Mus musculus: one gene and its partners. The protein of the gene in region 3 purifies or fractionates together with the protein of the main gene of each other region. This does not show direct contact. Links are inferred from orthologs where the notes say so. Each region holds a gene or a part of one and is shown on either strand. Other genes may lie near its edges. The genes, in order: Dpcd, Wdcp, Ruvbl1, Epc2, Znhit6 and Shq1.

What was found.
Region 1: the proteins of Ruvbl1 (region 3) and Dpcd purify together in Homo sapiens (affinity purification with mass spectrometry; 6 studies listed by BioGRID and IntAct, counting the BioPlex papers as one, with this or other methods). This does not show direct contact. The link is inferred for Mus musculus from reciprocal best matches to the Homo sapiens genes RUVBL1 and DPCD.
Region 2: the proteins of Ruvbl1 (region 3) and Wdcp purify together in Homo sapiens (affinity purification with mass spectrometry; 6 studies listed by BioGRID and IntAct, counting the BioPlex papers as one, with this or other methods). This does not show direct contact. The link is inferred for Mus musculus from reciprocal best matches to the Homo sapiens genes RUVBL1 and WDCP.
Region 4: the proteins of Ruvbl1 (region 3) and Epc2 purify together in Homo sapiens (co-immunoprecipitation; 3 studies listed by BioGRID and IntAct, counting the BioPlex papers as one, with this or other methods). This does not show direct contact. The link is inferred for Mus musculus from reciprocal best matches to the Homo sapiens genes RUVBL1 and EPC2.
Region 5: the proteins of Ruvbl1 (region 3) and Znhit6 purify together in Homo sapiens (co-immunoprecipitation; 3 studies listed by BioGRID and IntAct, counting the BioPlex papers as one, with this or other methods). This does not show direct contact. The link is inferred for Mus musculus from reciprocal best matches to the Homo sapiens genes RUVBL1 and ZNHIT6.
Region 6: the proteins of Ruvbl1 (region 3) and Shq1 purify together in Homo sapiens (affinity purification with mass spectrometry; 3 studies listed by BioGRID and IntAct, counting the BioPlex papers as one, with this or other methods). This does not show direct contact. The link is inferred for Mus musculus from reciprocal best matches to the Homo sapiens genes RUVBL1 and SHQ1.

Annotation. Positions count from the first base shown.
Region 1 is NC_000085.6:45,558,638-45,564,091, reverse strand, and holds the start of Dpcd (protein DPCD), read right to left. Parts: upstream 3,508-5,454; 5' UTR 3,449-3,507; coding exon 3,385-3,448; intron 3,106-3,384; exon of another isoform or gene 3,008-3,105; intron 1-3,007. Other genes in the region: Poll (DNA polymerase lambda), read left to right, coding at 4,401-4,512, 5,173-5,454. UniProt on the Homo sapiens protein: May play a role in the formation or function of ciliated cells.
Region 2 is NC_000078.6:4,841,408-4,847,000, reverse strand, and holds the start of Wdcp (WD repeat and coiled-coil-containing protein), read right to left. Parts: upstream 3,699-5,593; 5' UTR 3,550-3,698; intron 1-3,549. Other genes in the region: peptidyl-prolyl cis-trans isomerase FKBP1B, read left to right, coding at 5,566-5,593.
Region 3 is NC_000072.6:88,481,555-88,486,548, reverse strand, and holds part of Ruvbl1 (ruvB-like 1), read right to left. Parts: intron 4,432-4,994; coding exon 4,342-4,431; intron 3,587-4,341; coding exon 3,437-3,586; intron 2,142-3,436; coding exon 2,078-2,141; intron 837-2,077; coding exon 638-836; intron 1-637. UniProt on the Homo sapiens protein: Possesses single-stranded DNA-stimulated ATPase and ATP-dependent DNA helicase (3' to 5') activity; hexamerization is thought to be critical for ATP hydrolysis and adjacent subunits in the ring-like structure contribute to the ATPase activity.
Region 4 is NC_000068.7:49,534,286-49,539,279, forward strand, and holds part of Epc2 (enhancer of polycomb homolog 2), read left to right. Parts: intron 1-969; coding exon 970-1,059; intron 1,060-2,290; coding exon 2,291-2,439; intron 2,440-2,539; coding exon 2,540-2,883; intron 2,884-4,994. UniProt on the Homo sapiens protein: May play a role in transcription or DNA repair.
Region 5 is NC_000069.6:145,574,140-145,579,572, reverse strand, and holds the start of Znhit6 (box C/D snoRNA protein 1), read right to left. Parts: upstream 3,366-5,433; 5' UTR 3,206-3,365; coding exon 2,577-3,205; intron 1,472-2,576; coding exon 1,406-1,471; intron 1,322-1,405; coding exon 1,215-1,321; intron 1,129-1,214; coding exon 1,043-1,128; intron 1-1,042. UniProt on the Homo sapiens protein: Required for box C/D snoRNAs accumulation involved in snoRNA processing, snoRNA transport to the nucleolus and ribosome biogenesis.
Region 6 is NC_000072.6:100,668,358-100,672,390, forward strand, and holds the start of Shq1 (protein SHQ1 homolog), read right to left. Parts: upstream 2,801-4,033; 5' UTR 2,705-2,800; coding exon 2,562-2,704; intron 1,408-2,561; coding exon 1,343-1,407; intron 1-1,342. UniProt on the Homo sapiens protein: Required for the quantitative accumulation of H/ACA ribonucleoproteins (RNPs), including telomerase, probably through the stabilization of DKC1, from the time of its synthesis until its association with NOP10, NHP2, and NAF1 at the nascent H/ACA RNA.

The DNA of each region.
Region 1 (5,454 bases), on a different chromosome or scaffold from region 3:
CAGGTAAATGGATACAGGCAGCCTCCTCGGGAAGACTGACAAAGGGTCTTCCTAGGCAGTGGACGTGTACCCTCCATCAGCTTCAAGAACAGGAACCCTGAGGTGGCTTTGTCCTGTGTAACTCACTCTTCTAGGACACAGTTCCCCGAGTCATTGCTAACTGGTATTTCAGTCCACTGACCCCAAACTTGCAAGGTCTCTTGGCAGACCCTACGTTTCAGCACCCTTAAAAATCTGATTCACAGATACGAGTACTTGCTCTGCAGGCATGAGGAACTGAGTTGGACTCATCAGCACCCTACATAGCTAGGTGTGGCAGTGCATGCCTGTAACCCCAGCATTGGTGGGCAGAGACAGGCAGGTCCCCAAAGCCAAAACGGAGCTGCTGCTTCAGTGAAAGGCTGCCCTAGGCAGAGAGTAACAGAGGATTAAAGCAAAGGCCTGGACTTCACACACGTGACACCCTGTCTTTGTGCTCCTGCAACTCACATGAGAGCATCACACACCCCACAAATACTACCTCATGACCCAAAGCAGCAGAAGCAGATTTTACACGCACTGGCATGTTCACGTTCAAAGCAGCACTATTCACAACAATCAAATGGCAGGAGCTACCCAAGCACCCGTCCATAGACGAAGGAACAGAGATCAGGAGTACACACCTACAGTGGAATAGCTTGAAAACAGAAGGATGATGTTGGGGGCAGGGCAGGGGTGGAATGCAGTCAGCAGAGAGCTTGCCATTCAAGTTTGAGGGCCTGATGGATCCCCAGCATCCATAGACTGGGGCAGTGACATGAACATATAATTCCTCCACTGGGGGACGCAGACGCAGCACACACACACACGCACGCACACACACACACACACACACACACACACAAATGTTTAAAGAGTAAAAACCACCGTGGCAACTGTGAGGAAAGACACCCTAGTCTGACATCTGGCCTCCACATAAGCACACACAAAAAAAAAAAAAAAAATTAAAAAGGAAATTTGGATACACATGATGACATTGATGAACTCTGAAAACCTTTTGCTCTGTGACATAATTAAATATTATTTGATTCCATTTACATAAATCTCTTAGTCAATTTAATTGAAATACAAAGTAGCTAGGGGCTGAGGAAGAGGGGTGTGGAGTTGTGTTTTCTGGGTGCAGAGTATTGGCTTTGAGAATGAAAACTTTTGGAGCTAGATATTGGTGACAGGTGCAAACAGCAGGACCGTCCTTAGTGACCCCTAACTACACACCTAAAATTGATTGTGACAGTACATTTTGTGCTGTATGTATGTATGTGTGTGTTATATAAAATAAAAACAAAAACTGGGAGCCAGGTGTGGTGGCGCACTCGGGAGGCAGAGGAAGGCGAATTTCTGAGTTCGAGGCCAGCCTGGTCTACAAAGGGAGTTCCAGGACAGCCAGGGCTATACAGAGAAACCCTGTCTCGAAAAACCAAAAAACCAAAACTGGGTCAGGCATGACAGTACATGGCTTAGGCCGGAATGTATTCAAGGCCAGCTCAGAGCAGCCAAGACTACATAGTGAGACCCTGTCTCAAAGAAAAAGACCTCTGTCTTGTAAAGTGTGTCCCAAAGCTGCATACTGTGTGGCTGTGACACATGGCCATCAGTCTGCATCTCTCCATTTTCTCCCACTTCCTCTTACAGCCTATTTTCCCTGTATCTGGCCCCGGATGCTGTGCAGGCAGTCCCCGAATGGTGCCTTCTTTCCTAATACTTGACATTTTGCCATACACTCTCACACTTATACATGTGCACACTTCTTTTGTCTCTATGTGTGATTCCTTCATCTCCACTTACCAAGTAACTATTAAAAATTCCTTAGGGGCTAGAATATCACCTCTTCTATTTAGTGATTATCCAAAGAGAAAATTATTTTCACCTCTGTGCTTTCTTAGCATTTCACAGACTATCTCAATCTTTCCTTCCTTCCTGTCTGTCTGCCTGACTTCCTCCCTCCCTCCTCCCTCCCTTCCTTCCTTCCTTCATTCCTTCCTGAGTCTCCTGCCTTGACCTCCTGAGTGCAGAGATGGCAGGCATGGGGCTATCCTTGCCTTTCTAAGATCCCAACCTCTATTTAATACAAGCTGCTATTTCCTTACATATTTTTTTCTTGATAATTTTATGATCCCAGGAAAGCATAAGCCATGGTTGTCGTCTTCTTGTTTGTTTTAACTTTGCTATTGTCTGTTTTTTCTATCTGCTCTAGCACAGAATTTGGCACATGGCAATGGGTTCCCTAAATGCTGTAGGGTAGGAGCAAATGAAACCTGATTTTAATTTCTGTAAACTTCAGGCACCTGCCTGTGGATGTTTTAAAGCTAGCTGTTAGCTTTAAAGCCTCAGGAATTCAGACCTAAGGCACCCTGGCTGCCAGGTGGGTGGGTCTGTGAAAGACCTCAGGGGCACAGGGCACTTAAACTGGCCACTTGCAGGATGAGGAAAAGCTGACATCTCAAGCTCCTGTTCTTAGTCATTTAGACCTTAGCCCTTGCTCTATCTCCCCTAAAGATCAGGGGGCAATTTAAAATCCACATCATAAACAAAACATAGTTAGAAAACAAGGACCTGGGCTGGTGAGATGGCTCAACAGGTAAGAGCACCCGACTGCTCTTCTGAAGGTCCTGAGTTCAAATCCCGGCAACCACATGGTGGCTCACAACCATCCGTAACGAGATCTGACTCCCTCTTCTGGTGTGTCTGAAGACAGCTACAGTGTACTTACATATAATAAAAAAATAAATAAATCTTTAAAATAAAAAAAAGAAAGAAAAGAAAAAGAAAACAAGGACCTTAGAAACAACACTGGTAGCCCACCCACTTCATTTTATAATTGAAGAAAATGGGGTCCTAACAACTGAAGAGGTGAATCGATGTTAGAGTTGATCTAAAACCCTGGTGTCTCCTTTCTATGCCATTGGGGCTGCTGTCATCAATAGGACCCCCAAATTGAGCTGCATGGATCCCAGATGACGAATTATACCTGATTATCTGCAAAACCTGGGTTTGGTCTAAAACCTTCCTGGGTTTCAGTTTCCTCGTCAGTCAAATGGGGTGCAGAATTAGCCTCTTGGTACAGCCCTGAGGGACGATGATGAATGTAAAATGAATTATTGGGAAATACCAACAAAACTCTGAGCGGGGAGAGATGATATAAGGAACTCTTGAGGTGGGTGACCAAAGACTTGGGTTCCACTCGGGTCATCTCCCTGGGCCGGTTTCCTCTGCAAAAGCAGGAAGCTGGCATGGCTGTAGGCTGCTGCGACAGGTCCAGCTCTGCCCACCCAGGCTGAGGCCCTCCCTGGGGGAGCGGGCGCATAGAGCCCGCCCTGGGGGGAAGGACGAGGGGTCTCGAGTTACCATCCTGCAGCAGTGCCGTCTTCTCGGCCGACCGCAAAACCTCCAACCAGCTAGTCACCGCCATCTTCCCTCCGCCCAGGAACGCGCCGGGCCACTGCCATGGCAACTACCCGACCGATGATCACTTCCGGATGACCCGGGAAGTATTCTGGGAACTGATTTTTTTTTTTTTTTTTCCCCTCTACCCCTTCCTCCCCCAATCCGTTTTCATTGGCTCCCATGGTGAGTTTATTTCTCTTTGCCGGGAGATTCTAACCTACTTTGGACCGGTCCTGGGGCCGGGTGGGGTGGGGATGCTCCCAGAACTTTTAGGGATCCAGCACCAACTCTCTTCTGGCCCCAGCTGGGAGTCCCTGGTTCACACCAGCTGCTCACAGTGGATGTGGCACGTCTGCTTCGGTCTTGCCCACCTCCAGCTGTGAGGGCTCCCTACATCTGCTGCGGCTGCACTCCACCTCCCTGCAGCTGCGGGGCTCAGACCCGCGCGATGGGGCTGCTGCGACAGGGACAGGTGCGCAGCGTGCCCACAACTTTCCCTGAAGCCTCACTCCCCAGGTTTTCTTCTGCGAATGCACATTGAGGCTAGAGAAAGATGATGCGAGGTTTATGTGACATGTCCCTTAGACTCCAATTCGTTGGGGAGATGAAGACTCTCCTAAAGATGTAGTCCGGTTCCCAAACCCGTCATCATTTTGGAAAAGTCTCTTGGAAGGGGACGCAGAGGCTGACTCTGCGCTATATTCCTCCCCCCACCCCCACCCCATGTTGTTTCCTTTCGATCCACACCTCCCCTACACCCACAAGAATCCCAACCTTTCCCTGGCTTCCCTCAGTACGACTAGGGTTGAAAGGCTGGTATGTGTGTGTGGCACTCGGATTAAATCACTTAAGTTTAACTGGGGTTTCCGAGACCTCTGAGAAAGGGACCTGTTACCCCTAAACCCCACCTCTATGCCAAATTATTAAGGGCTGGCTCTCAATCCTTTAACAGAAAGGCCAGGATCCAGCGCCCTTCAATGGACCCTCAGGGCATCGTGAAGGCCTTTCCCAAGCGGAAGAAAAGTCATGCAGATCTATCTTCAAAAGCACTTGCAAAGATTCCCAAAAGGGAGGTGGGAGAAGCTAGAGGTGAGCCGGTCCACCCTCACACACTGGAACGTTCAGCCTTCTTGTTTTCAGCTAGAGTCAGATTAACAGAAGTGACCTAACCTGTGGCCAAGATCAGGTTGGCCTCAAACTCGAAAAGCAAAACAAAACAACAAAAAAGGAAGTTTGCTGAAAAAAACAAAACAAAACAAAAGCAAAAACAAAAACAAAAAACCCCTGGGGGGTATCGCTAGCAAGCAAGCCTTTAGCCTTTAATCCCAGCACTTGGGAAGCAGAGGCAGGCAGATTTCTGAGTTCGAGGCCAGCCTGGTCTACAGAGTGAGTTCCAGAACAGCCAGGGCTACACAGAGAAACCCTGTCTTGAAACTAACCACCCCCCCCCAAAAAAAGGAAGTTTGTTGTACGTTTGCGGTAGAATTCTTTGAAGGTATTTTGTTCTCTGGATGGCAGGAAAAGGAAGGGAGGTGGCTTCGAACAGTTCATTATAGCTCTGACCTACAACTGTAATCCCAGCTCTTAGAGGTCAAGGCAGGAGAATCAGAAACTCAAGGTTATCCTCTGCTACATAGTCAGTTTGAGGCCAGCCTGGGCTACATGAGACCCTATCTCAAATAATAGTGCAATAAAATTAATAATAATAATAATAGCTATGGTGATACCACTTGAATATCCTCTCCACAGGATGGCTGAGCTCCCTGAGAGCCCACATTATGCCCGCTGGCATTGGACGTGCCCGGGCTGAACTCTTTGAGAAGCAGATTATCCACCATGGCGGCCAGGTGTGCTCTGCCCAGGCCCCAGGAGTCACTCACATTGTGGTGGATGAAGACATGGACTATGAGCGGGCTCTCCGGCTCCTCAGGTTGCCCCAGCTACCCCCTGGTGCCCAGCTGGTGAAGTCCACCTGGCTGAGCTTGTGCCTGCAGGAGGGAAGGCTGACAGACACGGAAGGATTCAGCCTTC
Region 2 (5,593 bases), on a different chromosome or scaffold from region 3:
GATCTCTAAAATTCTTTTGCAATGTTTAGAAAAAAATGTATCCTGAAATGTCTCTGAAGGATCAAAGGGCTAAGGTGGGCAGTGGTGGCACACGCCTTTAATCCCAGCACTTGGGAGGCAGAGGCAGGCTGATTTCTGAGTTCGAGGCCAGCCTGGTCTACAGAGTGAGTTCCAGGACAGCCAGGGCTACACAGAGAAACCCTGTCTCAACAACCCAAATACATACATACATACATACACACACAAACACACATACACACACAAACACACACACACACACACACACACACACACACACACATACACACACACACACATGGAGGTCAGCAAACAACCTTTGGGAGTTGGTTCTTGCCTTCCACCATATGGGTCCTGGATGTGAACTTAGATGTTAGGCTTGGCAGCAGTCATCCTGACCTGCTGGGTCACCCTGATGACCCTCATTTTGGCTTTTTATTTTGTTGTTCTGATCTGGGAGGGAGGTGAGGCAGGGTTTCTCTCTGTAGCCCTGGCTGTCCTGGAACTCACTCTGTGGAGCAGACTGGCCTCGACCTCACAGAGACCCGTTTCCTTCCCAAGTGCTGGGATTAAAGGCGTGCACCCTTTAATAACCACCTGGGTTATTTTGCTGTTTTTTTGTTTGTTTTTTTTTAAATCACTTTTCTATTCCCAAACCCAACTACCGAACATATACCTTCAGCATATAAAAAAGTCCTTCTGAATCTGAGGATGTGGGTCATTGGTAGATTCCAGCCTCAGATGCTCAAAACCCTAGGTCCAATCCCTAGCACCCAAAGTAAAAGGAGTGAAGTTCTTTCAAAAAGCATCAAGACATTAAGGGCCTGTGTTATTTGCTACAGATACAACTTTCTAACTTGATCTGTTTTGGTCCTAAAGGAGGCAGAGGTAGCAGGATCTCTGAGAGTAAAGGGCAGCATAAGCCTCTACCTACCTACCTACCTACCTACCTACCTACCTATCTATCTACCTACCTATCTACCTACCTACCTATCTACCTACCTACCTATCTACCTACCTATCTACCTATCTACTACCTATCTACCTACCTACCTATCTACTACCTATCTACCTATCTATCTATCTATCTATCTATCTATCTATCTATCTATCTTGGGGGTGGGAGGGAGATACAGGCCGACCAGAGTCACATGGGGGGAGGGGGAAGAGTCTGAACACCACAACCATAAGGTGCACAAAGAGTCAGTGGGTTGACTTAGCCCATAAAAGTGTTTGCCATAGGACTGGTGAGATGGCTCAGTGGGTAAGAGCACCCGACTGCTTTTCTGAAGGTCCCAAGTTCAAATCCCAGCAACCACATGGTGGCTCACAACCACCCGTAATGAGATCTGACTCCCTCTTCTGGAGTGTCTGAAGACAGTTACAGTGTACTCACATGTAATAAATAAATAAATAAATAAATAAATAAATAGTGTTTGCCATAAAACCTGAGGTCAGTCTCAGAATCCCACAAAGTTAAGGGAAAGAACAAACTCACAAAAGCTGTCCTGCGACTTCCACAGATCTGCTGTAGTATGTGTGCCCCACCTCAGAAAAAACAAACCAAGCCCGGTGTGGTGGCGCACACCTTTAATCCCAGCACACGGGAGGCAGAGGCAGGCGGATTTCTGAGTTCGAGGCCAGCCTGGTCTACAGAGTGAGTTCCAGGACAGCCAGGGCTACACAGAGAAACCCTGTCTCGAAAAACAAAAAAAAAAAGGCAAGGGCTGGAGAGATGGCTCAGCAGTTAAGAGCGCTGACTGCTCTTCCCGAGGTCCTGAATTCAAATTCCAGCATCCACATGGTGGCTCGCAACCATCTGTAATGGGATCTGATGCCCTCATAACCATCTGTAATGAGATCTGATGCCCTCTTCTGGTGTGTCTGAAGACAGCTGTACTTAAATTAATTAATTAAATCAATCAATCAATCAATCTTTGGGACAAAGCAAACCAGGCCAGCAATCAATCAATCTTTGGGACAAAGCAAACCAGGCCAGAGCAAGAAGGGGAAAAAAAGGAGCCAGGCGGTGATGGTGCATTCTTTTAATCCCTGTACCGGAAAGGCAGAGGCAGACAGATCTCAAGGCCAACCTGATCTATAGAGTGAGTTCCAAGACAGCCAAGATTACACAGAGAAACCCCGTGTGTGTGTGGGGTGGGGTGGGGTCGGGGGGGAGGTTGGACAGATAAACAAAAACCCCAAACCAAATGGAAAAAGAAAAAGGATAAAATAAAAAAGAGAGAGGAAACAAAGTGTGCAGCTGTTTTCCCAGAGGAAGACGAGGTGCTGGATGCCAGAGGCGCTTCTCTAAGACAGAAAGACTGCGCTCACAGAATGTGAAGACTGAAAAATACTTGAGGGACAGCATGCAAAATTTTAGCTTGAGAAAGAGTTGAACCATTAGTCAGAGATGCAGAAGGCAGGCATGCTTTGAAGATGAGAAAGGTGTGTAGTATGTAAGGTATTTATTTTTCATACAGACCCTCACGTAGCCCAGACAGGCCTAGAGCTTCCTGTTCTCCTGCCTGCACTTCCTGAGTATTGAGAATAATACCGGTCCAGTTTATGCGGTGCAGGGGATGGAACCCAGAACCCTCTGTATGCTAGGCAAACACTCCACCGACTGAGATACTGCAAGCTGTGACAAAATTTAGTATTAGATGAGTTTTATGTAGTGGTATTAAACGTGTTTCATGAAGGTGCCTGTAAGGTAGCAGTAGATGTACCTTAGGCAGTCACAGGGAAGGATTTGGGAGTCACTGATGTAAGGTTAGTAAAGCCAAAGCAAGTAAGGATCTTATCATTTAACAAAACAAAACCTGAAAGCCAGTCAACATAGCCCAGCAGTTATCAGGGGCTTGTACACAAGCCTTATTTATACCTGAGTCCAACCCCTGGACCCCACAAAGTGGCAGGAGAGAACCAACTCACAAAAGTTGTCCTATGACTTCCAGCTATGCACCAAAGCAAGTGCACGTGCGTGCGCAAACGCTGAGGCGGGCGCGCGGGCGCAGGCACACACACACACACACACACACACACACTGCCTCGAGTCCAGCTAGGTCTAGGCTAGCACTGATTGCAAAATGACACCCAGTCTCAAAAAGACCAAACCAGATAAAAACCAAACCAAAACCAAAACTCCCCATCTAGCTTCCCAGAAGGATGAGAGACGTGAGACAGAGATACTGGCAACAGCTTAACTGATCATCCCGTTAGAGCCTCCTGGAATTAACCAAAAGCTCGGCTATTATCATTTGTAATTTAAACCAAGTTCTTAGTTCGGTTTGTTCAAACATCTCAAAGTTCGTAGGCGACTTTAACTTACTACAAACAAGGCTATATTCCTTAAGCTCTATTACCAGAAGTATCACTCGTGTATCCCAAGGGCACTTGTTAAAACCCACACCGTGAGCTTGCTTCTACTGCAGCCTGGTCCTCTTCCAACTCTCCCTCAACTTCTCCCCACGCCTACATCCCTGGGCCTGAAGTGCCACCCACTTCACACACACACACACAACGAAATACCTTAGTCTTCTGCCTCCCCGTCCCACACGTAAAATCCCGGGGCCGCTCACGTCACAGGACCGGGAATCAGAAGTCCCGGGCACCTAACGGAAGCCTCGGCCTTTGGACCTCGGAGATGCCTCTAGACTATTGGCTATTGAGTGCGTCACGTTAGCGGCGGGTCCTTCCGATGGCCATTAAGCGCGGGCTTTGCCGCAAGTGTTTCTGGGAGTTGTAGTTCCCGCGAAATCACCGCCCGAAAATCTTCACAATACACCTCAAGTGCTTCAACCTCTTTTCCCACGCAGGTCTCAACTGTTCTCTTAGAAGTGGTTGGCAAGAGCCGGGCGTGGTGGCACACGCCTTTAATCCCAGCACTTGGGAGGCAGAGGCAGGCAGATTTCTGAGTTCTAGGCCAGCCTGGTCTACAGAGTGAGTTCCAGGACAGCCAGGGCTATACAGAGAAAAAAAAAATTGGTTGGCAAGAGGGAATCGGAATTCTACAGTCAACATGTGTAAAAAGTTAGTGTTTAGTTTAGAGGGGAGTCAAGAACTCCACATTTAAAAATCCCATAAAATATCACTCCCAAAATGTAAATACATCCGTTTACCTGAAGCCAGCCTCGTAGGCCTGCCCAAGTAGCAGATCTGTTCTACCCCGATCTCAAAGTACCTGCCCAAGGCCATAACCAGTAGGGGGGTGAGGGTCAGGGTTGGAGGGTGGGGTGTCTTAAGCTTTTTTGTTTGTTTGTTTGCCTTAAGCCCTGACGACTCTAGGGCACACACACGGGTTTTTTTCTGATCCTAACGTGCACAGTACCGTAAACCAGCTTTTCTGAGCACCAACTTTAGTCCTTGTATCCTGGCAAGCTAGTATCTGCGAGCTAGCCACTTGGAAGAGTGGAGATGGAGAAACTGAGGAAAATGCGTCAAGTTCCAGTTCTGGGCCTTTGAATAAATAGGTCCTTCTCCCATACTCACCTCCCATTGGCTCTTGTCAGAAACAAATTCAGATCTGTGCAACGGGTGTAGAAAAGATGGGGGTGGGGGGCATTTCTTAAAGTCTCCTTCAGCCTTCAAGCAAATGTTTTCTCCTCCCAATGTATCTTCCTAGGGGCCATGGACGTAACCTCTGTTAGCTTAGCGTGAGTGAACAGGCCCTGGCTTCCCTGGATTCAAGTCCCAGGACCAAGGAAGCGGAATTCGGATTGGGGAAGGACAAAAGTATCTTTTTAGATCCTGGTTTGGTTTGGGTAGAGGTAAAAGAATTCATTCATTCCTTCTATAGCATTCACCATTCAGGCTGTCGCTGTATCTTCAGCACAGAGCTGATCCTCCTTTAATTCAGTTGGAATCCCCAGGGAGCAGTCCTTTACCTTGAAAGGTGAGACCTCCAATACATATACCTGCTGTAAAACTTTGAGGAATGATGAATGTGGTCTTAAGGTGGTTGAGGAAAATTCGTCAATAATTGGTTTCTTCCCTTCGCCGGCTCTGCTCCAATAGATTCGGGAAGCCTAACCCGGGTAGGTATCAGTCTCGGGTGCTTCCGTTTTACTCTGAACCCCACGGCACTGAGCACACGTATTTAAAGAGTTAGTTTAATTACCGACTTTCTCCTAGTCTGTAGGATTGAGTGGACTCCCTGGGGCTTTGCACCCTGTAGGTGCTAAATAAATATACACTGAGTGGATAGATGTGTGGATGTGCTAGTGCCGGCACGCCTCGCTCACCCTGCCTCCCCTTTCAGCCAGTGGGTTAATGGTGGTTAGTCTGGCCAGGATCCGGAGCAGCCACGTCAGGGTCGCTTCCCTCGGGCTCCGCCCCGGCCGACCCCACCTTGTCGCACAGCTCCACCCCGCCGCCCCCTTCCCGGCGGCCCCTCCCCGCGCAGGTCCTGACTCCAGCCGCACCTCCTCCGGCTCTGCAGTGGCGGCAAGAAGGCGAGCGGGAGTGCCTGCGGGGTCCGCGCCAGAGCGGAGCCGGGGTCGGGGCAGCCGCGAGGACCCCCTTGGAGGCGGGGCCTGTGGGACCGTGATGGGCGTGGAGATCGAGACCATCTCCC
Region 3 (4,994 bases):
TGACCACTGTCAAGATCACACAGCCCCAGGGCACTGTCTCTTGGAACAGCTGTGGGCTTGAAAAGAAGCCCTTTACATCCCAGCACTGCAGAGACCAGCCCTGACTGTCCCACAGGACCACAGAAAACCTCTAGGGCACTAAAACCGCACATGAGAACCTGACATGGGCCTCAGACAAAAGCTGGTACATTCTCTGCAGCTCAGGCTCAGAGTACTTAGGAAAAAGTGAGTCTGGAAAACCCCTCCACCCCAGCATTGGGGCTGTATTAACACAGGAGAGACTGTACGAAGACCCACTCTCCAGGGCTCTACTGAACCTCTCAAGAAAGGTCTGGGGTGGGAAGAGTTACACCATTCAGTTCCCTCACCTGAAGTGAAGCTAGCAATACCTATCCCTCTGCAGGAGACAGGAAGTTAGCTAGCTCATGACATCCCACTAAAGACCAGCCCCTATGCGACCATTACTTCGCACACTCCATAGCCCAAAAGACCCCTGGGAAGACCTTCCTCATCAGAACAACCCAAGACACATCCTTGCTTCTTCCCCATCTGCCTCATGGCATGCAGGCATGCGAACCAAGGAGAACACTCGTTCAGAAGGAAGGTGGGAAGCCTTGGAGCAGGCGTGAGGCCCTACCTGATGACACAGTTGCCTCGGTTGGATGCAAAGATGACAATGGGGGCGATGGAGGACTCCAGGGCTCGGTGCAGGTAGGTAAAGCACTCGATATCCAGCATGTGGACCTCATCGACAAAAAGCACTCCAGGGACCAGCTCGGCCACACCCTGGTCAATGTATTTGTTCACCACTTTGTTGATCTCCCCTCGAAGTTTATCTAGATGTGGGATGGCAGGGTCAGCACCAGCAAATAGCTCCCGCTCTGAGCTCGGACTTCCACCCAAACCCACCCTACACCTGTTTCCCCAACTGTGAGGCCCCAGCAGGCCCTGGCCCCATTCCAGCTTCAGTTACATCATCTAAAACAGGAACAAACACACCTAAAGGCCACAGAACTGGCAGCTTTCCCTAAAGTTGTTTGGCTAACCCCAAGTGGGTTGTGCACAGGAAGGCCATGACCTCCTCACACGCCCCACCCTGCCTTATTGCTCATCCTCCCAACCCGATGTCCAGCTCCCACTAGAACTCAAGTCTAGCAGATTTGGGAGCCTGGGACGACAGGAGTTTTCATATGCAAATATTCCTATGTTGTGCTCTGTGAATGACCCTGTCTTATGGCCCTGTGTGACGTTGCCTTCAATCACACGCAGTCTCAGTCCTCTCCAAACAGGAAGATGGTTTCAGGCCTTACAAGATGTTATCCATAGTCAAATAGGCCACCACGAGTCACAGCCCAGTCTTAACCGCAGCAGTAGGGTCTGGTCATAAACAGAACTGTAAGATCTGCTGGAGTTGCTACCTCTTCTACCAAATCTACCAGTAAGAATTGCCTGAGAACAAAGAGCAAATTCAGGGCAAAAGACTACAGTGGTTGCTGCTGCATGCAGCACACACACCTGTGACCCCAGAACTAGGAAGGCTGAGGAGGAAATGCAGCATCTCTTAGTCAAGGTGATCCTAGACTAACCAGTGAAACCCTGTCTCATCAGCCACACAAAGCCAGGCAAAATCCAGACACAGCTGCTCTTGGGATCTGGAAGAACCGTCTCAGCTGCTCGTCCAGCTGAGACCTCCAAGATCACAGAGACTTCATGCTTCACACACAGTCACCAACCTACAGGTTGCTAGGAAACGATAACAGAGGTGGGAAGAGTATAAAGGCCACACCAGAGCAGGGCAGAGGGAAGAAGGTGGTGCTGCCATGGCAGCAGAGTTCGCTCCACTTCTCAACATCCCTAGGACCCCAAAGGGACCAGAAACTCTAGGTGCCCAGGACCAGAGAGCACACTACTGTCTAAACAGAGCACAGATGACAAGGTTTAAGCTGTGATCTCAGAGGAGGGAAGACACCATCACCACGCTTATTTTACTTAGAGGAGCACATACAGCCACTGGGTTTGGCACCCAGGGTCCTGATCTACTGTAGGCTCTGGGGGCAGGCAGATCACCAGCTCTTACCTGTGATCTCTGTCTTTTTTGGCTTCATCAACTGGCCCATCATAGACAGAATATCTTGCCCACCCTGGAAAAGAGAAGACTCAGTCAGCCAGAGAAGACTGAATGACCATGCTGTCTAAGGAGGCTACCAAACCTAATTCCCCTGCTTCCTACTGGTCTCCAATGTCAACTCACTTGGAGATGCCAACACAAGCCCCCTGGAAAGTTTATATTTTCATGTATGTGTTTTCATGTATGTACATTTTTTTAGACAGGGTTTCTCTGTGTAGCCCTGGCTGTCCATGAACTTGCACTGTAGACCAGGCAGCCTTGAACTCAAAGCTCCACCTGCCTCTGCCTCCTGCTGGGATTAAGGCATGTGGGTGGCATCATGCCCAGCTTCCTTGATAAGCTTCTAAACACAGAGGAACTTCACAGGCTCCAGACCTCTAGGAATCAAACAAACTCTTTCCATTGGGAGTAGAGTGAACAGGGTGACCTCTTCTCCCACTTTATCTTTTAAAATTTGTTACTCCTGGATTATGCACAAAGGACCAAAGCTATGACTCAAAGCTCTGGCTGTCTGTGCCATCTTCCTGCGAGGCCCCTCCTGTTAGGAAGCTGCTCTGCTGACACTCTGTCCCCACACTCTGCCTAAAGCAGAGGCTTCTGAGGTCAGTTTGGAGACAGACATCTACCTCCTAAAGGCACTTGCTGGTCTAGGACTGATGTCAACAATCTCTTGAACAAAGCCTCGATGGGCCCATTCTCCACTGCTGCTGCAGAGGTGGCCTAGGGAGGATGAAGATAAATGTAACCTGAAAGGCCACCAGTAAGGAATTTGTGTACTTTGGTTCTTTGAATCATGTCCCTCAGAATTGTGGCTATGGAATGACATCCTTTCCTACAGTTATCAGTCAAGGTCTAAATATTTACTGTCCCTCCAGAGTTGCGGGCTTGGGTCCAGCTCAAAGCTAAAGGTGGCAAGGCTCTGCTAAGTGGAGGGAGGTCACAGTTGTGCGAGGCTTTCAGAAACCCTGTGAGGGTTCACACAGCACTCATGCCCTCCTGTCAGCAATACCTAGAGCATCCAGGCACAAGTCACTGCTGGAGAGAAGCCAGGGAGGAAGTTGGCTAGCTCAGGGCGGGAGGCTTGGCTGCAAGAAGAAATAGCCCAGGAAATCATCTGTGACTGGTGCACTAGAATGGGAACAAAGGAGTGCTGCGTAGCTCATGCCCATGTTAATTGCCGAACATCACAGAGAGAAAAGGAGCGCCTGCCTCCAAAGTGGCAGCAAGACCTTGCCGATTCATCCCCAGAGCTTCCAGGCAGAGACAAAAGGCTGCCCGAGAGCTCCTCCCACAGCAGCACAGCAGTACCTGAGGCCGCGCATTAGCCACATCCAGGTCATGCAAGGTCACATCCTGTATGATTTCCTTCTTCTTGTGCACATCTCCCTTTGGCAAAGGGACGTACTCTTCAGCTTCAAGGTCAAACTCTGTGGCATAGGTGTCACACCTGCCTTGCCTCTGTAGACAGAGAGACAGTGAATGCTGTGTGGGTTTTCACTGCCCAGCCCTCAAATGGCAGAGCTCAGTGAGATAGAGGGTCGGGTCCCAACTGCAGCCTAACAACGACAGCCTCCCTGACAATCCCCCCATGTGCCCAACCCAGTGTGCCCACTACCCTCTGCCAAGAGAAGGAAGCTACCGGCGGGTCACAGATACCCGATACTTTCTCCAGAGTCCCCAACACCCGTAACTGTATGCACTTCCCGATAAAGGGCAAATCCAGCAGATTAACTGGAGACAGAGGGAGCTGCTCAGACTCTTTTGTAGGTGGGTGATTTACTGCTTGATATCAAGTATTATGCTCATCCATTAAACAGTGAGCAACACTGTACAGGACACTGGGAATCAGATACGAAAAGAATGCCAGCTAATGCCGCATTCCTTCCCACATGCATATATCTTGGGAAGAAAATACCAGAGAGATAAAGGAAGATTAAATACACTGCACATTTCAATTTGAAAATGACTAAAGTTGTTTTGGTCTCTCACCCTGTTCTCCCCCTCTAAACAGGTCTTAGTATTTCTAACAGACTGTCTCTTTTCACGATGAGAAGGTTAAAGAATGAAGATAAGGAAAAGAAACTTTATAATTCGCAGAGGGACAACTCTGTCCTTCCCATGGCATGGCCCCAGACAGTGCCCACCTCCTCCAGCACCTGGGTCTTCGTGACTCACAAATCAGGCCTAGTGCTTTGTCCCAGGGAGGACATTACCTTCACAGCTCCACTATTTGCTTCAATGTAAATCACATCTCCAGCCTCTACTCGTTCTTTCTGCAAACTTTCAAAAATACTGGGGTCCAGCTGAAAAGAAAACAAGGGTGACTCAGAGAACTGCAAGGCATGTTTGACTTCCTTTTAACATGCTACAAAGTGCCTCTCTATGGTATATCCAGAGGACTAACAAGTGCATAGAGCATCCCCCAGTGGGGAGCATGTCAGATAGGATAAGGGTGAATAGTCCAGGAGAGGAGGGCAAGTGAGCCCACAAGCCAGCCACAGGGTACCAAGATATCTCTCAACTTCCTTAGCTTCATAGGCCATAAAGGAGTGAAAACAGGGTCCCTAAGGGTGGCTCTGGCTGCCCTTATATGGATGACGCTGACCACAGAACCAACAGCCCTATTGTCCCTTTCTGTTCTACCTTCCTATGCTCCTCACCTGCCCTCTAGAAGCCCAGGCCCTTTCTATCATAGAACTTGCCAGTGCCAGCTTACCAGGCTGGATTTCTGATAGGCTCATGATTCTAGAGCCTTGTTTCCTCATCTCCTAAATAGCCCTGAGACACACATCAGGAATATATAAAATTAAATATGAGACACAAGCTAGGACTCTCCTGGGTTCTGAGTAGAAGGCCAGTGCTCAGG
Region 4 (4,994 bases), on a different chromosome or scaffold from region 3:
AATTAATGTGGAGGGGGGAAAATCCTCTAAAAAGGAATGAGATTTTTGACTTTTTAACTCCCAGGTTAATATGATGAGGCAGGCATTTTGTGAGGAAAGAGATTACTGCTAAGTGAGATTGAGAGACAACCCAAACTTAAGAACTAAGGCCTTTGTGTTGTTTAACCATTACTGTGGACGTTATATTTATTGTTTCTCTGCTGTATCAAAGTATATTTTATCATATATACTATATCATCACTTAGCCTGACATGACATAAAACTGTGCTCTATTGAGTCAGTTCTTTCCCAGGAATACTTTTCAGATTATATAAGGATATTTGGCTGGTAGCATCTGGTCCTGGCAAAATCCTTTTTAATGTAGCAACTCTTTACACTTTTCCTCTACTGTTGTAGTCGTAAACTTTCTCTCAGCAACCAGTGTTTTTATATACTTCGCTAAATTTCTGTTTGTGAGTTGCTAGGTTTCAGCAGTGATTTAAGGAGCTAGAGAGATGGTTGAGTTCACTTGCTGCTCTTACAGAGGACCTGAGTGTGCTTCCAGTACCCACATGGCAGCTCACAGCTTGCTCTGTCTGCTTCCAGAGAGTCCAGTGCCCACTTCTTCCTAGCATTTGACCTTATTATAGAAAGAAAGTCCAGATAAAAATGACAACTACCTATAGGTGAGGCATAATTGTCATCATCAAGCATTTATGCCTGAACTATTTATGACTATAAATGGGATATATAAAAACTATAGTGATATGTCTAGCCTTCGTTCAAAAACAGTACCAAGTGTGCTTAGATGCAAGAATAAATCTTAAGATTTTTAGCTACAGAAAATATTTACCAGTCATTTAATGTTTCAGGCAAATTAGCTAGCTGCTGGATGTAGGCAAGGTGCTTGTGATCTGCCTTTATTTTCATTCGTTATGTACATTGATGTGTTAACTTGGTAACTGCTAAATGGAGCACTGTTTTACCCAGGTGCTGTCTCCAGCTTCAGAGGCTGAGGAGGAGAATGACCCTGACGGTTCCTGTGCTTTCAGAAGACGGGCAGGATGCCAGTATTACGCTGTAAGAACTTTGTTTTTTGTCATATTTTTGTGAGCTGGAATTAACAGATCATTCATGTCAAGGTAACGTAGGCTCAGTCTAAAAGTGGGAAGTGCATCAATATTCCTTATTTAATGCCTCCTGTGGCATGTGAATACCAGCAGAAGAAGATGAAAGATGCCAAATTCTTTCACAGAATATTAGAATTCATTACTTAGACAACTCCTATTTTCAAAATTACTTCATTTGGAGCTTTAATTACAGCTTTAGCAGTTGTGAAAATTAATTGCACATGTTTAAGTTGGCTTTAGAACTTTTGGTGACTTCTGGATATTCACTGAAGTGTGTGTGTGAGAGAGAGAGAGAGAGAGAGAGAGAGAGAGAGAAGAGAGAAAGAGAGAGGGAGAGAGAGACCCAATAAGTATATTTTTATAGTTTATGGCAAAGTTGTCTGATAATTTCATCCATAAATTTCAGATACATTAGGAATCTCTTTTTGTTATTAATGTCCCATTTTGGGTGCAGTGTTTAGAGAATGGCCTTGGCGTCACAGTGCTAAAGTTTTCTGTCAGGTATATAACTATAGAGTAGAAAAGGTAGTTTTGCCCTGTTAGCATGGTTTATGCAAACCGTTTGACTGCATTATGTTATGCACAGATAGACAGCTTTTTTGAGGGCAGACTTGGTTTAGGAAGGATAGGGATTTGTTTTCAAGTTATGCTGATAGAAGGTGAGAAAACTCCTATCCAAGGGGGACAAAGTGCTGAGACAGAAAAACAGGATGATACATGTAATAAAAAGGCCAAGAAACAAGCTCTACGTTTCTTAAAAGCAAAGAACACTTAAGCTCAGCCTGTACATATGCTTCCACTAAATTTTTAGTTGCCTTTAGCACCCCCTAAAAAAAGTCATTCTAGTTTATCATGTAGAAAAGCTATAAATTAATAATTTTATCGCTCTCTATATAAAGAAACCTAAAACATATTCTTTAAAGGTATCTTTTAAATACATACTAAGTGTATGTAATTTAGAGTGGGTAATTTGGATAAGGAAACTTTATCTAATTTGATTAGCTTTTGATTTTAATTTTTTAAATTTTAACTGGATTAATACATTTTAGCCTCAGTTTTACAGTTTTTCATCTAAATTTTAATTGTTCTAATACAATTTGCAGTCATTTTATTTTTATCATGATTTAACTTTTCTTCATTTCAGAATTACTCTGAGTTATCTTTTTTCTCTTTCTTTGCAGCCGCGTTTGGACCAAGCTAATAACCATATGTGTGAAAATTCAGAGTTGGCAGACTTGGATAAGTTGAGGTATAAGCATTGTCTTACGACACTTACAGTTCCAAGAAGATGTATAGGATTTGCAAGGAGGCGAATTGGCAGAGGTGGCAGGTAAGCTGCTTTGACCTTGTAGCATTGTCTAGCTGAAAGGCAATCAATAGAGAAACAGTTATATATGATATACACATGTATGTCTTATATTGCTTTACAGGGTCATAATGGACCGAATATCCACAGAACATGACCCCGTCCTGAAACAGATAGACCCTGAGATGCTGAACGGGTTTTCAAGCTCTTCCCAAACTATAGACTTTTCTTCTAATTTCTCTCGGACCAATGCTTCCAGTAAACCTTGTGAAAATAGACTGTCTCTTTCTGAAATATTAAGCAATATCAGATCATGTCGACTACAGTGTTTCCAGCCAAGGCTACTAAATGTACAGGACATTGATAGTGAAGAATGTACCTCAAGAAAACCAGGGCAGACTGTGAGCAGTAAAAGAGTTTCTGCAGCATCCGTAGCTTTATTGAACACCAGCAAGAACGGCATATCAGGTAAGCATTTAAAGGTCTGTCAGATCGCTGCTGCTGCTGCTGCTCTTTTCTCCTTCGTGTCCATTACCTAATAAGTGAACTCAGAATACATTTTGGAGACCTACTTTCCTACTTCTATTTGGAAGATAAATTGTAGTTCAGTTCAGTTCTCAGCCTAAGAGACAGCACCCTACTATAAATGACTCGAATTTTGCGTGTGAGTGGTGTGGCAAGCGTGTGGGCTGAGCCCAGTGTTCCCTGTGAGTTTACTGCTTACTGGCTGCCTCCTGATCATTGTTCTACAATGCTATTTATTATGTTAAAAAAGTGTTCATTGACTTGGATGGAATGTAAGCATTGCTCTTTGAGAGTTCTCTTGAAAGCCTTTCTAGAAAAAAAAAATTTTTTTTAAGGATGCTATTGAATAGTGATTTTCGTCAGCATGCTTTCCTTTCTAATTGAGATCAGAAATATCTTTTTCATTTTAAGGGATACTGTGCTAGATATATTAACATGTGTTTATAATCTCAACCTTTGGAAGGTACAGACAGGAAAATCAGGAGTTCAGGGTCATCCTTGACTACACTGCTACTTTTGAGGCCCTGCCTCCCTATGTATGTATGTATGTACGTATGTATGTATGTAATGAGTTTGTGCTCAAATAATTTAGTGTTTTTATGGTATATACATTAAGAATAATTTGAATATCTAGGTATTCCAAAATATAATTTTGATGTGTTTTATTCTGTTGATAATCTAATTACATGTTTACAAGTTTATATAATTTATAGATATGTTTATAATATATACACTACAATTATGCATGGTAGCCAGTGGAAATGTATTAAATAAAACCTCTTATTTCATTTTTAAAACAACTTATTCAACAGTTCCATGAACATAAATGGTATATTCTGGTGACATATACTCCTCTCCTCTTTCTTATTTCTTCCCTGCCCTTTCAAAGACCCTCTCCCACCTATCAAGTCCCTGTTCCATTTTCTTACCTTTTTGTTTTGTTGTGCTTTTGTTTAATCATGGCCTTTACTGTGGACGTGGGAGTGAATCTATTCACTGGAGTATGAATGACTCACCAGTAGCTACATGACTGAAGAAGATGGCTGACTTCCTCTCCACCAGCAGCCCTAGGTTGCCATTAGCTCCCCCGAGTAGTGCAGGGACCCAGGAGATCCTCCCCTGTCTGAATGTTATTTACTGGTTTGCTCCAAATATGTTGGCTCCTTTTCTCCTAGCTGAACTTTAAGAAAATGATGCCCCATTCTTGTACTTTGTGAGTTGGTGAAGCTTAATGAGCCTGTTAATCTGAAATGGATAAAGATATCTCATATAATTTGAGATCTTTTGAGTTTCTAGAAATCTGTTTTTACAGGAAGTTAAATAGTATTGCGTTTTTCCAGCCAATTCCCAAGATTATTCAAAATTATATGAATAGAAATTTCTGTACCACTGTTCAAAAAGGAAATTCAAAACATATCCAATATAGGTGTTGATAATTGTGTTTGACTATATGTTGGCTTTTTAACTCTACCAACATACAGCATGTTTAAAATGATTTGAATGGATTCTCAATTTGAGTATTTACAGATTTCAACCGTATGTCCTAAATGAACTCTGGATTTGACATAAATGTTTTCAAGATAATATATGTTTTCTGTTGCTGTATCAATTCTGAATATATACTGATCCAAAATTATAACTTAATATAACTGAAACTTTCCTAACAATCAGCTATCATATTGAGGCACATTATCCGTGTATCATCATGAAAAAAGCATTTAAATTACCATAAGTGTACATGCCATCTGCCATTTTTCTTGTATTTTTCAATATATAATACCATTCCTTTCCACCTCTGTTTGAGCTCTAGAATGTACAGACACACTTACAAAGCCAAGCATGGTAGTATATTCATGTAATCCCAGCACTAAGAGGGTGGAGACTGGCACATCTCTGGAGCTCTCTGACAGCCAGTTGAGCCTCCTTGCTAAGTTCCAAGCAAGGTCTTTTTTTTTTTTAAGGGTGGATAGTACCTGAAGAATTACACCTAAGGTTGTTCTCTGGTCTGCACATATGCCCATGTACTTGTACACACTCAAGGGAACATGCATACA
Region 5 (5,433 bases), on a different chromosome or scaffold from region 3:
GTGAACCACTTTCCAATGATTTCTAACAGCATTGCTGCCATGACCTCCACCCTCTGCAGCTGTCCTTCATGCTTCCAACCCCCACTGTTGCTCCCCGACACCAAGTGAAAGCCAGCCTTTTATTAAAATGTATTTTTACTTTATGTGTCTGCCCACATGAATGTGCATCCTGTGTGTGCCTGGTTCTGCTGGAGGCCAGAAGAGGGCGTTGGAGCATCTAGAACCAGAATCTCAGGGGTTGTACATCTCTGTGTAGCCCATGGTTCCCTGTAAGACCGAGTGCTCTCAACTGCTGGGCCGCCTCTCCAGGCTCTAGGCATTTTGTGTTTTCTTTTCTGAGAACAGGTCAAATGTAGCCTTGCCTGGCCCGGAACTCAGAGACTCACCTGCCTCCATCCCAAGTGCTAGATTAAAGGCGCCATTACGCCCCACCTCCCTTAGTCTCATGTTTACTCAGAATGCTTGGAAACTCTTACAGGTTTCCCTCATCCCTCCTTACTCACCGTGCTTCGGTTACCCTGCCCTGCTAATCCCCGGAGCACAGGCGTCCTGTTCCCAGCCTGCGTCTTTGCACTTCTGAGTCAGTCTTGCTATACATTCCTCCTGAATGCCGAGTCTGTGCCGCTTCTGCCTATGTTTCCACTCAGAGTTTCCCTCTAAATGTCTCCAACTGTCCACTTCATACCATTAGGTCCACTGCCTATCTGTCCCGTCTCAGGAAAGCTCATCTCTACCACTGTGCTGATAATCACACTCTGCGTAGTCCATGCCCCTCAAGCACCCTGTTCTCTTTACTCTCTTGAACCATCTTAACTTCCTCATGCACTTACATCTGTAAGAAATTCTATCTGCTGCTCTATACCTCCCAACTCCCCCACTCAACTACCTCCCCTCTACAGTACAAATGCCTGAGGGTAAGTACTTGGATCCATCTCAAATAACCAGAATAGCCCCACAGCGCAGTGACCACTTGATACAACTGAGAAATGAATAAACTGGGTGGAAGAGATCTGAACTTGAAAAGATTAGAAGAAATACTTACATATTTTTTGCGCTTTGGTCTTTTCAAGAAAGTATCTCTTGAAACCTTGTCTGCCGTTCTTGCCACGTCTTCCAAAAATCTATAGTCTTGTAATTTCAGAATGGACAAGTTAACGAGTGACACGGTGCCAGTGGCCAGAAGGCATCCCTGGGTGGTGCACAAAGTGACTTACCACTCAGGAGATTCATCTCAGTAAACTGCTGCAGCGACACATAAGCGGTCTTATCCCGGACTCCACTGCACGTCAGGTCAGCTTTGTGTTTCTTTACACAGGGCAAACTGAAGAAACAAACAGGAGGCAGCTCTGTACCTGAAGTCAGAGTGCACACAGGCAGGGAGTGAGGTAGGAAGCTACATATCTACCTGCAGGAAAAGCGCATGCAGCGTGGACATCTGTACTTCGCTTCTTCTGTCCCACAAGTCTCACACCTGTAAGAGTGCACCTGAGACTTAACACGCAAAATCAACTCTATGTATGTCCTTCCGGTCTTAGAATTTGGACTCAAGGGCATTTCACAGTTTACAGGCAGGTAGTCAAAGCAACTCTGATAAAGTATATGATAGCTGCTATTGGAAATCATGAAAATGTTTAAAAATGACATTTACAATGACGTGCAATTCAAGAAAACTGTATGAAAGAAGTCACTGGCCCGCCCATTTTTTTCTACAGGACTTAAGAGAATAATATGAATTGCTGATTTTTGTAGACCAGGCTAGGCTGGCCTCAAACTCAGAAATCCGCCTGCCTCTGCCTCCTGAGCACTGGGATTAAAGGCATGCGCTACCACGCCCAGCGATTTTTGAAATTGTGATTCATGGAGACTTTGTGTGTGTCTAGAAGTATAATCCATGAGCTACATATGAGTATTTTAAAAACATATACACCGGAGAAACAAGGAAGGATGAATCCCAGACTGGCAGCAATGTGTGCCCTTTCCCCAGTTCCACAGCGAATTCAGAATGAACACCCAAATAATGGTATGATTCATCTGTCCTCGGTCTTCTAGGGTCTGGTGATACTGAGAACCAAAGTGTACCTGGTACCAGTCAGTTCTATCAGCTCAAGGAGTTTGAGACTGAATCTGACCACAATCTGATCTTCTGTACTGTCACATGAGCACATTAAAGAGACTACATCCAAGAAACGAACATTCATAGGAGCCCGGAATAAATTCAAGAGTAAGTTGACATGTGTCTATTAGTCTACCCACTTGCTGGTTTTTGGTTTATATTGGATGGCGCCTCTAATCCTATTCTCTCTAAAAGAAAGACTGCGAAAGCGTTTCTTATTTAACAAGCTCTGGCTCCACAAAGGCCTTCTGATGCCCAGAATTTTCACTCCCTAACCTGGCCATACCCTTCTGGACACAGTCACATCACACTGTGTCCTCGAAAGCGTCACGCCCAACCTGAACTTCACCACTCAGACTTCAGGGACCCACGTCACGCCTGGTTTAACTTACCTCACTTTCTGCTGTTAAGGACTCGTCCACCCAGTAGTCTATTTCCCATCTGGGTTTTCTCCCCGCCCTACCTTGACAGAGCCAATTTCCTCTTGCTGCCCACTCGGGGGTTCATCTGGGGCTCTTCCTTCACCTTCGCGTCTTCCATCGCTTCGCTCTTGAGGGAACCCTCTTCTTTTATAGGCGCTGCATCCATCACTTGCTCTTCCTTTACGTTCTGACCAACAAACAACTCCTGTTTTATGGTCAAGTCCTCCTCCTTCACTTCTTCCCAGTCCGTCACCTCCTCCTTCACCTTCACCTTCTCTTCCTTCACTTCTGGCTCATCCACCTCCTCTTCTTTCACCACCAGGCTACTATCCGCCTCCTGCTTCACTTCCAACACGCCTTTCTCATCCTTCACCTCGGGCCCGCCCTCCACCTCCTGCTTCACCCACTGGCTGTCCGCAACACCACTGTCTAAATCCGACCAGTCTACTACTTCCTGCTTCACCACAGCTAAGTCCATCTTTATCTCCTCCGCATCCTCCGTGGTCTTAGTTCCTGCCAGTCCGTTCCTCTCCTCTCCATCGCCAGCTTCTGGGCTCCCGTCTAAGTCCCTGGCTCCCTCCCCACCAGCCGCAGGCCTCGGCCGCGCCCCCTCCGCTACCCTCTGGGAACCTCCTCCCGGAGTCCCTTCCTTCTCAGCTGCAGATTCCATGAGCTCACGAGCCTAGGCCGAAGCTGCCACTCCGTTCTTCACGGTGGCACCACCAAGCCAATAAGAGAGATTACCAAACGAACCGCCGACAGCGCCACACGTGCAGCAAAGCAGCCGCGGCAAGCTCTGCACGCCTGCGGGAAGCCGAGCTAGCCGTAAAGCAGCTGTTCCGGCCACGACTCTTCACGACGTGTAGCGTTCTTTACGGCACGGCGGCTTTCCGGCCCCACTCCTTAAAGCCAGGTGAGACCACGCCCACCAGGACTCCCACCCAGGGGCGGGGATCTTGCCACATCCTTTCTCAGGCGCTGAAACTGCTGTCTTGGGAACTGGAATTATTGTCTCAAATAAGTGACCCACTTTAATCAGTATTAAGGATTAATTCTAATAATGCATGGCAATAGATACAGACTCCCATGTTCCTCCAAAGTTTAGACTGTATAAAGCGGTGGTTCGTAACCTTACCAGTGGTGTGGATCTTTATGTTCCTCATGTTGTGGTGACCTCCAACCATAAAGTTATTTTTGTGTCTACTTCATAACTATAATTTTGCTACTGTTATGAATCGTACTATAAATACTCCTGGGGGGTGGGTGGAGAGGGGGAGCAGAGGTTTAGCAAAGAGGTCGCGACCCACAGGTTGAGAACCGTTGGTCTAAGGTTTCTTCACTGTATACTAGGGACCAGGACATCCAAAAACGCCTTTAATCCTAGCATTTAGAAGCCAGAGGCAGGAGGATCTCTGTAACCTTCAAGGCTAGCCTGGTCTACATAGTAAGTTCCTAGGGTCAGGGCTGTTTCAAAAACAAAACAAATAGGAGAAGGAAAAAGAGGAAGGGGAGGAGAGACACTCTCATCTGCTCCCACAAAGATTACATGAAACTATGCATGGGAACCAACTACAAAAAGATCTACAGCCGGCAACTGAAACGCTGGCTGTCACAGGGTAATTGTAGCCCCTAATATCCGTATAGTGAAGCACTATACCCCAATACCTCAGAATTTTGACTATATTCGAAGACAAGGCTTTTAAGGGCATAACACTTAAAATAAGGCCTTTGGCTGGGCCCTAGCCCAATCTGACTGGTGGTTTTTTGTTTTTGTTTTTTTGTTTTTTGTTTTTTTTTTTTTTTTGTTTTTTTTTTTTTTGTTTTTCGAGACAGGGTTTCTCTGTATAGCCCTGGCTATCCTGGAACTCACTTTGTAGACCAGACTGGCCTCGAACTCAGAAATCCACCTGCCTCTGCCTCCCGAGTGCTGGGATTAAAGGCACGCGCCACCACGCCCAGCTCTGACTGGTGTGTTTAATAAGAGGGAATTTGCATATAAGTGGGATGGATGCACGTAGAGAAGGGTACTGAAATGTGAGAAGTCATCGGTTTGCCAACCAGGGAAGCCTAAAAAGGCAGAATCTCTGACCTTTGACTTTTTCTATAGCTTCTTGAAATTTGAGAAAACAAAAAAAAATGTCTATTCACCCCAGGAAGGAACTGACAACAGACCAAAGGATTCCACTCAAGTCCAACTTGGTGAGCTGGTGATTGTATTGAGGTTATTTACAGAAGTGTCATTCGTACTTCTACCAATAACATTTGTGTTCTAATTAATAGCGGAAAAATACTGTCTATATATACCATGCTTTCTTCATTTGTTAATCTATTGATAGATACATAGGCTGATACCATATCTTGGCTGTTGTGAATAGTGCTTAATCAGCATGAATGGGCAGGTTTCGTTTTCCTTCCTTCCTCTGTCCCTCTTTCCCTCCCTCCCTCCCTCCCTTCTTTCCTTTCTTTCTTTGAGACAGAGTCTCTTTGCATAGCTGTGGCTGTCCTGATGAGTGTCCTCATCAGCTTTGTAGACCAGGCTGGCCTTGTTCTCACAGAGATCCACATGCTCTAATGTGCAGGGATTAAAGGCATGTGTCACCATGGCCAGTTTTTAATAATAATACTCTATAAATTTATTATTATTATTATTATTATTATTATTATTATTAGTTTTTTTGAGACAGGGTTTCTCTGTGTAGCTCTAGCCCACATGGAACTCACTCTGTTGACCAGGCTGGCCTTGAACTCAGAGACTTGCCTGCCTCTGCCTGTGCCACCACACCCAGTAGAAACAGATTACTGAGCAGTATGATGATTTAGGTTCCTGTAGCTTAGGAAGATTACAACTGCTGGAGAAGATGGTACCTTTAATTTTAGTTTTCTAAGGAACCTCTATAT
Region 6 (4,033 bases), about 12 Mb from region 3:
CCCTTATTCCAAACTCAGTCCAAAAGAAAAGACAGGAGCTGCAGTAAGTGTAAAATTCCTGGGGTTTGTGGCTGGCTTAAGATGGGGGCTTGTCAATCATGAATAGAAAATCCAATTACTCTTATATTTTTCCATGCATAATTTCTCATCTACCTGTTATTAAAAATCTAAATTTGAAAACTGTTTAAGAAAGTTTTCATTCAAAAGCTTATAAACCATCCATCCATTATAAAGCCAATCATTTCGAGTTGATGTTTACCTTAAACATGTGCTAAATATAGAAACAACCCCAGAAAATTAAACTAGGACTTTTGAGTCAAATTTAAAGATTATTGCAAAATACTTTAAAAGACTGAGAAAACTGCTACCTGTCAAAAATCCATAGATAATAGGCACTAAAGATTAAAAAAAGTTATACAGCATACAGCAATTGCTAGACATCTCTGAAAGCCCCCCATGGTATCTTTAGAGACTACTACCATTTGAGTATAAGGAATCCACTAAATCCCAGCCAAGACTGGGCCTATGGCTCAGTCAGTAAAGCACTTGCCATACAAGCAGGAGGACCCGAGTTTCATTTCTAGAACCCAAATGAAAACATAAGATGCAGTGGTGCATGTGTGTAATCCTCCAGCTGGGGAGACAGAGACAGAATATTCCCAGGGCTTCCTGCCCAGCCAGTCTAGCCTAACTGATAAGCAACAAGCAAGAAACCTTATCTCTAACACATTCCTCAGGATGACATCAGAGGTGGTCCTTTGGCTTCCAATTGCACGTGTGCACACATATGAACCTACACATATACACCTCCCCTCACCACATCTATACCTACAGATGCAGTTGTACAGTACCATCATTGGAGCCAAACTGCCACCATCTTCAGCTCACAAATGGTCATCACAGACGAGCCTGCTGACTATTTACGGTCCCTCACAGAATGAGAGGGCAGCCACCATCACCCCCAACCAGAATTGTATGATCCAATTCTGCCCCAACTGCATGTGGTCGTGGGGGAAGAGCTAGAATCTAGGCTGAAGGGAGGGAGTTCAATCTATGCAGCCCTGAGGAAGCCATGCAGATCGTCTACTGTGGCTACTTCAAGATTACCAAGATTCCTGCCCTAAACCCCTTACCCACTACTCTATAACTTAATAAACTCAATGGTTCTCCCAGTGAACTTTGATGGAATCACATTTAGTTTTTCAATGGGACCTTAGGAGAATGCCCCTTCTAGGGAAGGAACGTTAGCAACACAGGTGGCATGCGCGTGCACATACATACATACACACACACACACACACACACACACACACACCAATCTATCTAAAACCCCAAACCATACCTTTATCTGCATCATAGGTCCCCTGCTCAGATCCATTTTCCACAATCCTTCCAGGCAGAGTTAATCTGCAGATTTAACACAAGAAAGGCCATCATCAATCGTAGCATAGTTTTAGCCATCAAAATCTATCCACCATTCGAAAGGCAACTTTCAGTGCTTCACATTTTGCAAGCTAAATAATCTAGATTCACTCTTCAACTAAGAAAATAAAAAATCAAATGGCCCATCTTTCCATTCGAATACTTTAACTACCAATAAAATGGGGGGGGGGGGGAGAACAACTCACAAAAAACAATTGCAAACGTATTTATGTCTGTTCTACTTCACTTTAAACTTAATCTATAAGTTAAACTTCATCTTAGGTTTATAGGTAAAGAGAAAATAGTATATACAGGATTCATTACTAGCCATGATTTCAGATATCCATTGAGGAGTCCTGGAAGTATCTCTCATAGGTAGGGAGTGACCTACTGTATTTTCAAGTTGGTATGCTAATAAAGATCTAATGTGGCTCCCACTCGAGCAGTGAAGAAACCCCTTGACTGTAGCTTGACTCCGTTGAAAGCAGAGGGCAACTGATGAGCAAGTTTAGAAAGACTCTCACACCGTCCACGGTACAAGGGGGTACTAGTTCTGCTTAACTCAAAGTCCGGCTATCAGAATTAAAATGACTTAAAACGACATGTGCGCATCTAAGAAGCTGCCTGCCTACCACACTGAAGGTGGCGAGTGTGAGCTGCCACTACTATTTTGGTTCAACATGGAGAAAAACCTGATATGAATGAATGGTAAATGCTAAGTACTGCTCGCATCTCCGGGCAGCCAGGCATAAAAGAATTGGCTAATCTGATGCTAACAGGAGACCTGGGAACTACAGGAAGCAGATGACATGCGGGCGGGAGTCAAAGGACCGGCCCACGCCGTGAGGTCACCACGGATAGGGGGAGGCTCGGGCGTGCAGTGAAAGAAAAGCACAAGTCAGGAAAGATCGAGAACGAGGGTGACCGGACTGACACCGCGCGGGTGGCCCCGTGCTCGGTGGCGGGATCCACGGATGCCACAGGAGGTGATTGTGCGGCAGGCAGACTGCGAGCCTGGAAGAAGTCGCCGCCGAGGCGGCAGCGAAGAGACCCGCGAGAGTGTTTGTGTCCGCGAGCGCGGAGTAAATCGCGAGCGTGGGCTCCCGAATGAAAGCGGCACGCAGGCGGCGGGAACTCGCCTCAGAAAGTACGGCTTGGCGTAGAACTTGAAGTCCACCCCCTCGAAGTACACGTCGAACTCAGAGGCGCGCGCGTGGGGCACGCGGATGGCGACGGTGAGGAAGTCGCAGTCCTGGGTCAGCTCGAACGCAGGAGTAAGCATCGCTGCGCGCGCCTGAAGCCAACACAGCCCCGCTAGGCACACGATCAGTTCCCCCGCGCGACAGACCCACGCCGTACCACAGCGCTTCCGGACGGAGGCGGAAGTGAGTGCGTGTGGGGGCCGGAAGTCCCGCCCTGCGCCAGTCTCCTTGGAGACGGGACGCTTTCGCTAGCTGGGCGGAGTTTTTAAACAGATTGAGAAAGATGCCCTGCAGGCTTGTTATGAAACTTCAATTAAGGGAAATTTTTCGAAGAACTGGAACTCTAACCGGGACGTTTACGGACTAACGGGAACACGAAGTCGCCTTAGACTCATTAACGTCTATGGGGAGACTTAGAAATTATTTAACTGCCTTGTGGTTTGTTTTTTTTTAAGTCAACAAAGTGGTTTTGAATTTCTATGTGAGTGTTTCCCAGTTGCACGACCTTGAGCTACAAAACTCCTCTTTACTTCAGACACCGCTACTATAAAAGGAGGCTAATATTATTCCAGCTTCCTCAGATGCTGTGAGGATTACACGGAGTAATCCATGAGGAGCTCTGTACCCTTCAAGTAGTCAGCACTCAGCAAGTAGAAGCAGGTTCTGCAGTAGCCACAGCGACGTCCCTAAGGTGACGTTCCTTTCAGTTCTCACCTGTAATGCCAAAAACCTCCCCCCCCCGCCCCTCTCCTACCCCTCCCTCAGCTTCCTCTCTCCTTTTTATTCCCTTCTTTGAATAGTTTTCTCATTAACAGAATATGTGCGATATGTGTCCTCTAATCTAACCCACACTGCAAACTCCAAGGAAAAGTAAGCTGAGAGATTAAACGGGATCAGAATCCAGATGCCCAGTCAGCGCCGACTCTGAAGAATTGTGCTTCCTTTTGATTTTGTTTCACTTTTTTCTGTTTTCATACACTCTTCAAAAACCGTCTTTTGTCTCTTTTTTCTTCACGTTATTCTTTTTAGTTCCTCTGTTATGCTTACTCTCCCAATGCCTTTCCCACTACTCTCCCTCTTCCCCCTTATAGTCTCTTGGACATCCTTCCCCCTCATTTCTTTTACAGGACCTAGCACAGTCCAAATATAGTATTGTGCTGGCTGGTTTATGTCAGCTTGACATAAGCTAAAGATATTTGAGAGGAGGAGGAAACCTCAATGAAGAGAATGTCTCCATAAGATCAGACTGTAGGCAAGCCTATGGGAGCATTTTCTTAATTAGTGATTGATAGGGAAGTACTTAGCCCTTTGCGGGTGGTGCCACCACTGGGCTGGTGCTCCTGGATTCTATAAGACAGCAGGCTGAGCAAGCTCCACGAGGAACAAGCCAGTAAACAGTACCCCTCCAT